3 linked regions of the Oryzias latipes genome follow. The protein of the gene in region 1 interacts with the protein of each later gene in a biochemical or structural test. Links are inferred from orthologs where the notes say so. Each region holds a gene or a part of one and is shown in the gene's direction. Other genes may lie near its edges. The genes, in order: srf, myog and ETS domain-containing protein Elk-1.

Region 1 (4,153 bases):
CCATCGTTGAGGGAAACTAGTAGCTCTTGGGCCCGTTTTGATCTTGTTTTTAAACTTTTTAAACCTATTTTTAAAAAGAAAGTTCTTTATGCTCATGTTTAAACTAATGTAGTTTCCTGTTGACTTCCATGACAAGTTTAACCTGACATATATACATATATGCACACCGTGATGATGACGATGGATTTATCCTTTAATTTCTTAGTTTGAGCTCAGATTTGTCTTTTTTTTTTTTTGATGGAACATAACTTTACTTTTTCTAAATTCCATTTTTGAAATCTTTGAAGTTCTGCTCATCATCTTCTGCCCTATTTTCAAAGTCTTCCTAGTGGCCTTTTAAAAGTGATGATGCCGTTTTTAGCCTAAAACAAATCTGTGTCGTCTTCCACCGAGGCTGTTAATGTGGAGCCACCCCGCCCCCTTTCCCATCACTGTTCTGAAAGCCTAGACCAGCTTGTGACCACCCAGCATATTTATGAATCCTTTTCAAACAGCATCTTTTCTTCTGCTCCTGATTCACAGCGATTTGAACAAAGAAATGAAATGTCAATTAGAAAAAAGCCACATTTTTTTGGGGGGGGGGGGGGGGTTCTTTAGGTTGGGTGGTGTTGGGCTGTAGCTGCTCCAGATTTGGCTGATTTAATAAAGTTTTTTTTTTTTTTTTTTTTAACAGGAACCTTTAGAATAAGAGGAATATGGTTTTGGACCAGTTTTGACCTTGAAGCTCTTTTCCATCCGTGACCTTTAGACTCAGTTTGGTGACCTCAGCTCATTGGTCCAGCCGTCATAATAAAGGTAGACCAACAGGTGAGTTTGAGGCCCGAGCAGACTGAAATAAATCACCACGCGCTTTTTGTTGTACTTTTTGTTTTTCACGTTATTTTATTGTTGGCTTGTAATGTTTTTTTTTCTACATTTGTGTTGATGGGGACAAATGTTTGAATTACAAACTGCGTAACAAAAAACTCAAATAATCTGTAACGGAAAACTTTGTGTTTTTGTTGCGCTTTTCGGCGACATGAGCGTTGACTGTGACGTTGACATCACTGCAACCATTTTGGTATTTATTCAAATGAGCTTCTATTATCGTCCAATCACTGCTTTAGTCAGATAATCTTCAACCAATCAGCAGGCGACGTTGTGACTCACCAAATAAGGAGAGACAGCACCATATAAGGAAACGTTGTATCTCTTTATAAGGAGGAAAGTAGTTCCCTGGCTCTCGTATCACTCCGCCGTGGCGATAACTTTTTAAAATGCGGGATCATTTTATGCATTTCTGATCCACGTAAACTAAATAATGTAAATAAAGCGACGCCTTCACGTTTTCGCGTGAGTACATAGGGTGTTATATTCGGCCTTTTTTTTTTTGCTCACACGGCGAACTATGTGACGCAGCGGAGTCATATCGACGGAGCTGTTCGCGCTTTCCTTTTTGAGAAAGTACGGAGAGTTTTGGAAATAGAGGAGGAGTGTGGACCGAACGGAGCCGGGTTCGCGGGTCCGGGGGCAGCGTCACTCTCAAAGTCTGGGTCACTAATGTCTCGTAGCGTCCAAATCAACTGAGCGCTTTGTTTACATTGCGTGGCCCCGGCGCGTGCGGTATATATCAGGAGGCACTCACGCAACGCCACGCTCCAGCTTCTCCAGCTGGTGTCTCGGGACTCGGTCGGTCACCTAAATATAATGTTACCCAGCCAGGCTGGATCGGTACCATCTGGAAACGGGTCCGCGTCCGGCAAGGGCAGCACCGGTCACAGTTCGGGGGTTGTCGGCGGCGGGATTCGCCCCGTCCTGGTCCGACCGGGGCTAAGCGACGGCGCGGGCGCTGCGGGGCGACACGCCGGGGACAGGGACGCGGTTGGGATGCTCGGAGCCAACGGTCCAGGCGGCTCGAGGGCCGCGAGACCGGGAAACGGGACCGGAGGGAACCCCCTGCAGGCTGCCGTACCGGGACACATGGTGGGGCTGAACGCGGGCGTCGTGCTGCCCATGGGGGCCCGGTTCGACCCGGAGCGGGTGTGCAGCGGCTCCGACAACGACTCTGAGTCCGGGGACGACGACGACCCGGTGGGGTCACTCGGGGACAGCAGGAGAGGGGTGAAGCGGGAGAGGGGGGAGATGATGGAGGCTGCGGCGGCGGGGCAGGAGGCGGGAGTCACCCCCGGAGATTACGGCATGGTGTCCGGGGGAGTCGCCGGGGCAAAGCCCGGGAAGAAGACCCGGGGGCGCGTGAAGATTAAGATGGAGTTTATAGACAACAAGTTACGGAGGTACACGACCTTCAGCAAGAGGAAGACGGGCATCATGAAGAAGGTGAGTGTGTGAGGCGCGTGCACGCTCATTGATTGATTAAGATGATTGGTTCATTGATTTGTGAGCTGACAGCTCCCTCAGAGGAGGAAAGCATGTCCAGAGTTTGGGTCTGGAAGTTCTGACATCCTCCTCAGAGGATGCAGGATCCCGGTTCTGCTTGTGACGAAGTTCACCCCACATAACTGTATGCAGCTGCATGCATGCATGCATGGAGCTGCATGCATGCATGCATGCATGGAGCTGCATGCATGCATGCATGCATGTATGCAGCTGCCACATGGCTTGCAGGCCTGCATGTGCCAACAGCTGACTAAACCCCCGGGAACCGGACCAGACGATTGCACAGACCACCGTATGGTGCACCCAGAACCAGGAGCAGAACCTCATTGAATACTCATGTTTGGTTCTTCTGCACACGGAACCGCTCTCTTAAAAACCCGATCACACAGAAATATTCTGCTGATCATCTGAAGGTCATTAGGAGCCAGATTTCATAAAAACTCCTCTTTTTTTCAGTGTGTTTTTATTTCCACAGCACCATCTAAACTGTTGTGTTTTGATGCATCCCAGACTGTTGTCGTGGAAACTGTGGTGTCTTCATGTGGGCTTTTGGCAACAATGAGGGGATGGAGATTTCTGTTGCCCACACTCCGTCAGCCCTGACAGGAGCTGACAGGTGGGTGGAGTGGGACGACTCATCGTAGCTCTGAACTTTCATTTTGACGGATCCACGTGATGCTGGAGGTTCTGTTCCTGGTCCGTAGGTGGTTCCTTCTCATGGACGTTTTGGTTTCTCCTCGGCGGCGAGCGGTGGAGTCGTTCGTGGTGAACGCCGTGTCGTTTACAGGGAGCAGGGATCTGCCGCTGGTTTTCAGTGGCCCCCAACACGGCCTGAGATAAAGTGATGGTTCGGGCTCCTGAGTTCTTTTGCTAGGACGTTTCGAGTCTTTTTGGACCCGGATGAGGCCTAAGAAAACAGCAAAGAGCCAAAGTTTTTATTTGAACTTCTTTACGTCTGTTGATGCATATATGGATCAAACCACTTTGGCTCCAAAATAACTTTATTGAGCATCAGCCTGAGAACAGCTGGCATGAATACAGGCGTTAAAGGGTTAACATATGCCTGTTATTGTACGGCAATTCTCGTTAATGGCTCCGCTTTAGTTGTGCCAAAGGAACCAATCAGGCGGAGACAGCAGCCCCCCACCCCCACCTGCAGCTACTCATATTTATGTGAAAATTGGCAGAGCGAGGAGCCCTATTAAAGGCCGCCGTCCACGCTCAGGTTGACAAATGAGTCCGTTTTTCCAGGCTGGACGTTGGCCAGACTCGGCGGTGTTGTTGAAGCGGCGCCGCGGTAGGCAGCGAGGGGAGGTGAGCGTGGAGTCACGGCGAGGAGCAGAGGGGCTGGACGATTGCTGCTCTCCACCGCTACTCTGAAGCTTTCGCCGGTTTTACAACGGCTCCATAAAGTTCTCAAATTTGAATTTGATTTGCGAGTTCTGGGGCGACGCCCCCGCCGGCGTGTGCTGAGGGGGATGGCGGCCTTCCCTGACGGTGACGGGAGCATCTTCAGGATGAGCGATGACTCTGAGGGGAGTTCAGGCTGAGTGCAGCCGTTTGGTCGGATGTGTGTGTTGGATGCAGTCTGAGTCCAAGCATCTGCTGGAAGCCATTCCTCCGTCCTCCTCGCTGGAGGGACGAGCTTCTCCTGGACTCGAACCTTTATCTTCTGCTATTTTGGTCTCTGTGGTGAAATGCATCACTTTTATTTCTGGATTTTTCTGCAGGTTGGAGTTCTGACGTTCCCGTTGAGATGTTTGAGGGCCGCGTTTCC
Region 2 (4,130 bases), on another chromosome or scaffold:
AGAACTGAAACTTTTCTTCTATTTTGAGACCGACAGCGACTCACTTCTGTAAACAACAAAGGAGAGAAAATTACAAATTAACGTCTACTTCGCTTTAATGAGACGCCACGTCCCTCGAGATGACACGCTTAAATGGATTTCTGTCATGACTGCAGTGGGCTTTTTAAGGTTTGTCATGTCCAGACTTGTTTTTCCTGGACGTATTCGTTGTATCAGGCAGCATAGAAACATGTGGCAGATAGCCCTGGATTGACTAGATGGGCAGTGGGACAGACAGACAGATAGATAGATAGATAGATAGATAGATAGATAGATAGATAGATAGATAGATAGATAGATAGATAGATAGATAGATAGATAGATAGATAGATAGATAGATAGATAGATAGATAGATAGATAGATAGATAGATAGATAGATAGATAGATAGATAGATAGATAGATAGATAGATAGATAGATAGATAGATAGATAACAAAACAGCAGATAATAACAGATAAATAGTATAAAAATGCAGCAAATACACTATAAGGACACAAAATATAGGCAAAACCTATGCCAGGTGATAATTCCTATGGAAAAAAACAAAATGTGATGCAAAGATGCAACAACCCATTCCGTAGCTGCTTCTCTGTTGAATAAAAATGTTTTTGGTTGTGTGTCCATGTTTGGAAAGGTTGGTCGAAATTAACTTGCGAACTTAGAGGTTAGAGACATCCTGGAAGGATTAACACCCGCCCGCCAAGCTAACGCCAGAACTGTCTGGAATAATTTAGGACGTTCCTTCCTTCCTACTTGGTCCTCTCAATACTGTCCCATCCTTTTCCAGAGTGAGCTTGCGTTAGCTTCAATCTTAACTTCCTGAGCTGCCTGTAAAGACTTGTCTTCTACAGAGACAGAGAAGCCTGCTTCATATCAATTGCTTTAATGTCGCCTGTCAGTTTACAGTTATGTCAATTCTCCCACATTGTTTCTGGTGGCCATCACAAAACAAAAACAAACTCTCAATGTCTTGCCACAACATACTGTCCCTGCATGTGTCCCCTTTGCACCCAGAGTGTCCTCCTGAATGAGGTGTTTAGTGGCAGGAAGGGGGAATCTAGTCTGGGATTATCTTATTAAGACAAATACATTTGATCTAAGGTTATCATTTCCTGTTCCACAGCAACTTGATCATATCCTGGTCTCTCAAGACTCAAATGGGTAACATGGAACCGCAGAAGGGCACACACATGCAAACACACCAACATGTCTTAAAGCCCTAGAGAGCAAGGCCCAACAGAGATATGAAGTGTAGATGTGCAGCAACAGCTAAACGTCGTGTCAGGTTTCTGGAGGCAAGTGCTAAATTTAACCCTGTGATCCTGCAACAGGCAGAGGGGTTTAAATGCCAGCCTACAGTTGCTCCACACCAGTTGTTCTCCACACGTCTTCCACTCATCACAAACTCAGGCCAGGAGGAAGACAAGCATACACTTGGACACTCCAACATAAGCTCCAGAAGCAGGACAGAAGAAGACCGAGTCAAGCGTGGTTCCTAAGGGAAAGCGGGATCCTTGCTCCTTCACTTTTAGACCACAGTTGCCCACCATGGAGCTTTTCGAGACCAATCCTTACTTCTTTCCTGACCAGCGCTTCTATGAAGGAGGGGACAGCTACTTCCCCTCTCGCCTGCCCGGGGCATACGACCAAACTGGGTACCAGGACAGAAACTCCATAATGGGTTTGTGCGGAGGCCTCCCTGGAGGTGTTGGAGTGCCAGCACCTGAGGACAAATCATCTCCATCCAGTCTGTCACCTCACTCAGAGTCTCACTGCCCTGGGCAGTGCTTGCCATGGGCCTGTAAGCTGTGTAAAAGAAAGACGGTGACCATGGACCGTCGAAGAGCAGCCACGCTGAGGGAGAAGAGACGTCTAAAGAAAGTGAATGAGGCCTTTGACGCTCTGAAGAGGAGCACCCTGATGAACCCCAACCAGAGGTTGCCCAAGGTGGAGATCTTGCGGAGCGCCATCCAGTACATTGAAAGGCTGCAGGCTCTGGTGTCCTCCCTCAACCAGCAGGACACAGAGACAGGGCAGCAGGGACTGCACTACAGACCCAGCCCGGCCCAGCCAAGAGTAAGTAGGATGGAACCAGGTTTAGGAGAGGGGAGAAGTCACAGAGAGCAAAACCAGCCAAAGAAAAGCAAGAACAGAAACCTTTGACTGATTTGGAAAAAGGAAGACAAGAAGCTACAAACTTGGCTACAAGAGATGGAAAAATTAGGTTTCAGATAAAAAACCTTTTCAGGGCGCAACTTGATGAGCGAACCCATTGTAAGACCTGCTAAAACCGATGGTTGTGGATGTTTCGGAATTTTTATTTAGATATAAATTCCAAATGTTTAAAAAACAAGAATAAGAATATACATGTATGTGTGCTTTTTTAAACCATTTGGGATTATGTAATTATAAAATATTTATATCAACCAAAAGTGACAGTTGCAGTGACACCGACAGCTTATTAATGACCATAATTTAAGATGGAAACTTTAATTTGCTTCTGATAAACCACAGGATGCATTAGTGATTGAGTGTGTGAGGCTACTTCAGTGTTTATCTGCGAGGTTTTGTGCTGCATTAAAACAGTGACTGACAGCAACTTCTGTCTGTGCGTGTCCATGGCAACAGGTGTCATCGTCAAGCGAACCAAGTTCAGGCAGCACCTGCTGCAGCAGCCCCGAGTGGAGCAGCACTCCAGACCAATGCCCGCAAAGCTACAGCAGCGAGGGTGAGTACTCTTCAAAGGTCCCATGAGGTGTCACTAGAACACCTTCACTGGTTTTGACTGTGGAACCCGGTCTTGTCTGCAGATCTTCTGAGTGTTGGTGACTCTCCAGAGCAGAGGAACATGCGCTCCTTGACTTCTATTGTGGAAGGCATCTCTGCGGCTGACGGACCTGTGACCTTTTCTGTGGACATTCCCAAATAGAGCCTGTAACCTGCAGAACCATCCAAGCAGATGCTCAACTTCACAAACACAACAAAAAATGAACATTTGGCAAATATTGCAACAAAAAACCTAGGTTTCCTTTTTTTATTCTGATTTGAGTGTTTTATCTTGTGCAAAATTATAAAAATTTGTCATTGGTTTGTATTAAACTTTATTGTTCCTTAGGTCTTCAAGCCAAAACCAATTCTTCCTTTACACAATGAGACCTCTTTTCCTTATTGCCTGCCTTATCCCATAGTTCAGAGCTGTAGATAACAGGAGCTCACCTGTCAGACTCAAGGATGTTATTGCATGAACCAAAACACCTAATTACCATGTATGCTTGCTTCCAGAATCAAAGATTCATATGACAAAGCTTGGTTCTTCACTTTACTTAAATTAGATGTTTCTCTTTTCAAAACCTTTCCCAAATTTTTCCATTCTTTTTGTGTGAATTTTAAATGTTTAAACAAAACATGAGATTGTTTGTGGGGCCAATATGTACCATGGCAGTTTTGACCAAGATCTGCTTAATTTAAACAGGTTATAAATGCCAGTGATGTAAATATGTTCCCTTTTTTTTCTACAGAGTGGTTTTGCAATTTTATTTTTTATTTTTTTGCTAACTTATTTTTGACTTTTATAACTAAGATTGTTGTGCATTTGTAGATGTTTTCAAAAGTGATATTTTCCTTTCAATTCTTGCTATAAAAAACCTTTTCAATACTTTGCCTGGTGATGATGTCTGAATTTATAACAAAACCAACCTCCAAAATCTTTAAAAAACAACTTTACTCATGTTTACATTGAATCATAAATACAGTACACTTTTTTTGGATAGCCAAATAATAAAATCTTGATTTGTCAGCATTGTTTCACACCTGGAATAAAGACACAGTACTCATAGCTGCCACATAGCACATTACACCTTTACACACCTTGGAAAAAAACTGTAAAATAAATAGATTTATAAAAAGCACAGCCGTCTATCAAACCACTGTTCATGTACTGTGCTCTCTTCGGATGAGGAGTAAGTCAGCCAAGAGACTGCGCTGCAGCACGTTTCCATGGCAACTGAATGGGTGATGCCCATGTGAGACCAGACGAGTTTGCCAGACGATCGTTTGGATTTCATTGGCTGTTGTCGAGCAGCAGTTTACA
Region 3 (4,151 bases), on another chromosome or scaffold:
TTCGGTTTCTTTGTAGAGATGTCTCTTGACGAGGCTCTGCGCTTCATTGAGAAGAAGACAAGTCAGCTGACAGGGTAAGTCCCGCCCACAAATGATTCCTTTGTAGTGATGCGATAAACAGTTTTCTATCGCACACTGTTAAAGCAGAATATGCTGTTTTCTTGAATTTAGAGAGAAAAGTTCTCTTTTCCTAAACATGATGGAGACTTAGTTTTCTGGTTTGGATCTTTGAGTACAGTTTGAATAGACTTCCTGTCAGCTGTTAGTTCATTGCTAATATTGTTGATCAGTGTAAAAGGTGCTAACATGGGATGGTTTGTTTTGCAGCTTCACAGAACAGCTCACCAAGGACTCTGCCAAAATAAGAGCCAACATCCGGATGGTGCTGGAGGTCTGTTTGACCATGCTTATAGTCAGAATGTGGTAACGGATGTATTGCAATCCTGAAGTTGTGTTTGCGTTCCCCAGGGTCTGCGGGAGCTGCAGGGGCTCAGTGACTCACTTGACAGCACACAATGAGATTTTTTGTAGAAAAGTTGTAAAAGTGGACATCCGGCTGTCATGGAGCCAAACCTACCTGCCGAGTAGGAAGAAAGACCTTCATTCTGGAAGAAACTTGGACACTGATCAGGATCCATCAGGGAGATGCACCTGATTTGCTTCACAGACCTTTCAGAATAGTTTACCAGGAAGGGTCTTCTGATTTTCACTCCAAAGGTGTTAAGGAGCTAAAGCTGAGTTTCTGAACAAACAAGAACTATTTTGTTGTCAGCTTTGTTCTTTAAATATGGTGGCAGGTCAGAGCGATGCAATGGCATCCACATTTAAGTTGTCCTTTGTGCTGGTAAGGGGCGAAGTCTATGTCACTGCTCATTCTCCTTTTCTTCACCCATTTGGACTGAAATTCTGCTTACTCTCATTGCTCCACCCTTTCTTATTTGCATTTGCTGAAAAGGTTAAATGATTGGCTGGAATTGTACAGCAAAACTGAAGAGAAAACAAGAGATTGACAGGTCACAAACAAAACACCAAAATCCGCGTTTTAACCAGTACAGACTCGGCACCGAGTTTCAGTACTCATCCCCATGTGAGGGTGGCTGGGCTTTGGACTATGATCCTGCTTTTATAACATTGAGATCGGGCCAGTGTGTTTAAGAGACACATTAATCTGATGATTTTATTTTAAAAATAAAATAAAAAACAGTTTTGCCTAAATCTCCACACTCTCCAAACTCTATCTCTCTCTGTCCAGACTCTCACTGACCGTAACTCTCCATCAAACACCCACATTTTGAACGGAGCCTGAAGGATTCATGTGGCTGTCAAATCAGAACCACTTCATGAATCAGTCACGAGGCTTCTGATGTCATCATTTTCATCACCCTTCAATGAAGCAGGCCTTGATGCATGCTTTGTGGAAACTCCTCCCCCACTACTCAAACATCACATCACTACTTTACATTGATCAGGTTGTGGATTGTGGCCTGGGGAATTGCTGTGCTTAGTTGCTGGATATTGGCAGGAACTGGAACACACTTCTGTATACATCTATCCATAGCATTCCAAACATGCTCGATGATGGGCGACATGTCAAGTGAGTGTGCCGTCCATGCAAGAACTGGGATGTTTTCAGCTTCAAAGAACTGAATACTGAGTCTTGCACTACGGGGCCACACATTATCATGCTGCAACATGAGCTGATGTTCTTGGATGTATGGCCTCAGGATCTCGTCACGGCATCTCTGTGTATTCAAAATGCCATATATAAATGCATCTATGTTCTTCAACCATAACATACTCCTGCCCATACAATAACCTTACTACCACCATGGGCCACTTGATCCACGTCATAGACATTGGAAAACCGCTCCAGGACTTAGCTGTGAAGAGAACACCTCTTCAGACGCTTTCAAATCTGAGCATTTGCCCACAAAAGTGGCAAAGATCAGTGGCCAATGAGCTTCCCTGAGACGGTTTCTGACAATTTTTGTGAAAATTCTTTGGTTATCCAAACCGATTGTCTCAGCAGCTGTTCAAGTAGCTGGTTTCAGACAATCTTGGAGGTGAACAGGCTGAATATGGAGGTCCTGGGCTAGTGTGGATACACATGGTCAATGTAATTCAACCAGCAATTCTTTTAAAACACCTTTGGAGACAGCTGATGGTTGAAGAATGAACATTCACTTCACGAGCAACAGCTCTGGTGGAAATTCTTCTGCATGCCAATTCCACGCTCCCTCAAACCGTGCGACCTCTGTGTCATTGTGATGTGTGATAACGGAACTTTTCAGGGCGGCCTTTTACCGTGGCCGGTCTAAGGCCCACCTTTACTCATGCTGTCTGCTCAGCATCTGGATATGGCACTCCTGTGAGGTGGGCTGGAATATCTCAGCAAAGGAGAAGTGCTCACTATCACAGATTTAAACAGACGCCAACAATTTTTGAAAGAAATGGTAATCTTGTGTTTGTAGAAAATGTTACAGATCTTCAAATTCATCTCATAAAAGACAAGACAAAAAACAAAGGAAGTGACAAGTTGTACGTAATTTCTAAAATCCGCGCAGCCAGTACTGAACTTTTATCTTGAAAATGCTTAACAGCAATTAACAGCAGCCATTCCAGTCTTTACAATTACACCTTAAAATATGTGTGACCAACAACGAAATCTACCCTTGGATGCACTTAGAATATGTGTGGGCATCAGCCAGCAATGTGCATCAACGTGAATTTCCATCACTTTTTGTGCTTGGTCACACTTGAAATACGTGCAAATCACATCCAAAATCTCCCAAAACAAAAGTGTTGGGTTTACGTTTTTGTTCATTGTAGATACATTGTAGATTGCTCACAACGCCTGTTAATTGTTTACAGCTACAATATATAACTGACAGCTCAATTTTGTACATACAGCCTCTGTAGATGCATAGTTGACAGCTTCTGAAGATGTTTGAAAGCCAATGTTGGGCATGGACAGCTACTGTGGAAGGGTTGCCAGCTGCATCTGTAGATAGATAACAGCTGCAGCAGATGTTTGACAGCTTCTGTAGAGGATGCACTAGATGGTCACAAGCAACAAACAACGGTACATTTCAAAGTGACTGTAGTAGATAGATAACAGACACTCAAGGAAATGTTACAAACGCAGAAACCTTAGAATAGGGCATCAAAATCAATGAACTGTCAGAAAAATAGATCATAGCAACTGCAGATAAACTGTTACTTTGCATGGATCACAAGAGCTGTTAATTAATGTGCCTGTTGATAGATAATCACAACTTTGAAATACTTGTTTTTTTTTTTCAATAGTGGGCTTTGTAGCTCTGCGGTTTTTTGCTTCAAAGTTTTTGGTATTAAAGCTGTCTCTACCAGCTGTATCTCAGAACTGAACAGAAAAACAATTTGCTGAATTGGATTTCCCCAGAACAGTACAGTCAGTTTATTATCACTTTCCCTCAGGTTTTTTTGTTTTGACAGACTGTTACGCATTACTATTAGAACTAAACAACAGGCAGTAAAATGCTGGAGCCGATTGCCTAAATCGATACAAACTACTTTGTATGACCGGGCCAGCCCGCCGTCGTGCATCGGGACGGCTTGGGAGCCGCTCTGAGGTCGGTCCTTTCTCCCGGAGCGTCAGCCGGAAGCCCGCCGGGTTTGACTGCAGCCGTACCCCCCTCCTCCCGCCCCCCACAGGAAACCAACTCATCTAACTGGCCGTTCCTCGAAGCTCGTGGTCGGAACAGACGTTCGGACAGCGGGGGGACCGGACCAACTACTTTCTGTTTGTGTTGGAGGAGTGCGGACGGTACCGGAGGACTGTAGTGGTTCTGACCGGGTTTCCTGCGCTTGTCGCCTCAGAAGCGCGCTAAGCTAGCTGAGCAGTTAGCCTGCTGAACTGAAGAGGGGACCGTTTACCGTCTAGTTCGTGGAGTCGGAACCGAACCCAACACGGGGAGAGGGGTTGAACTGTTTACTTTTGGTTCACTTTGACAAAGTTAGCAGGAGACTGTGAGCGGTTCGTGACAGGGGCTCCGTTCACCACACCGACTCGCGCAGTACGGACCGAACCGTTCACGTTCGAGCCGCAGAATCCCCGACCGAGAAAGCCCTCTCCGAGCTGTGGACCGCTTAGTGAACCCCCAGCAGCACCT

Evidence for each region.
Region 2: the proteins of srf (region 1) and myog form a complex in vitro, tested with the Homo sapiens proteins (2 studies listed by BioGRID and IntAct). The link is inferred for Oryzias latipes from reciprocal best matches to the Homo sapiens genes SRF and MYOG.
Region 3: the proteins of srf (region 1) and ETS domain-containing protein Elk-1 form a complex in vitro, tested with the Homo sapiens proteins (2 studies listed by BioGRID). The link is inferred for Oryzias latipes from reciprocal best matches to the Homo sapiens genes SRF and ELK1.

Annotation. Positions count from the first base shown.
Region 1 is NC_019873.2:29,042,398-29,046,550, forward strand, and holds the start of srf (serum response factor), read left to right. Parts: upstream 1-1,340; 5' UTR 1,341-1,686; coding exon 1,687-2,316; intron 2,317-4,153. UniProt on the Homo sapiens protein: SRF is a transcription factor that binds to the serum response element (SRE), a short sequence of dyad symmetry located 300 bp to the 5' of the site of transcription initiation of some genes (such as FOS).
Region 2 is NC_019863.2:28,569,191-28,573,320, reverse strand, and holds myog (myogenin), read left to right. Parts: upstream 1-1,330; 5' UTR 1,331-1,588; coding exon 1,589-2,116; intron 2,117-2,668; coding exon 2,669-2,768; intron 2,769-2,850; coding exon 2,851-2,969; 3' UTR 2,970-3,695; downstream 3,696-4,130. UniProt on the Homo sapiens protein: Acts as a transcriptional activator that promotes transcription of muscle-specific target genes and plays a role in muscle differentiation, cell cycle exit and muscle atrophy.
Region 3 is NC_019865.2:33,754,915-33,759,065, reverse strand, and holds the start of ETS domain-containing protein Elk-1, read left to right. Parts: upstream 1-1,343; 5' UTR 1,344-4,151. Other genes in the region: protein UXT, read left to right, coding at 1-74, 328-391, 469-519. UniProt on the Homo sapiens protein: Transcription factor that binds to purine-rich DNA sequences. Forms a ternary complex with SRF and the ETS and SRF motifs of the serum response element (SRE) on the promoter region of immediate early genes such as FOS and IER2.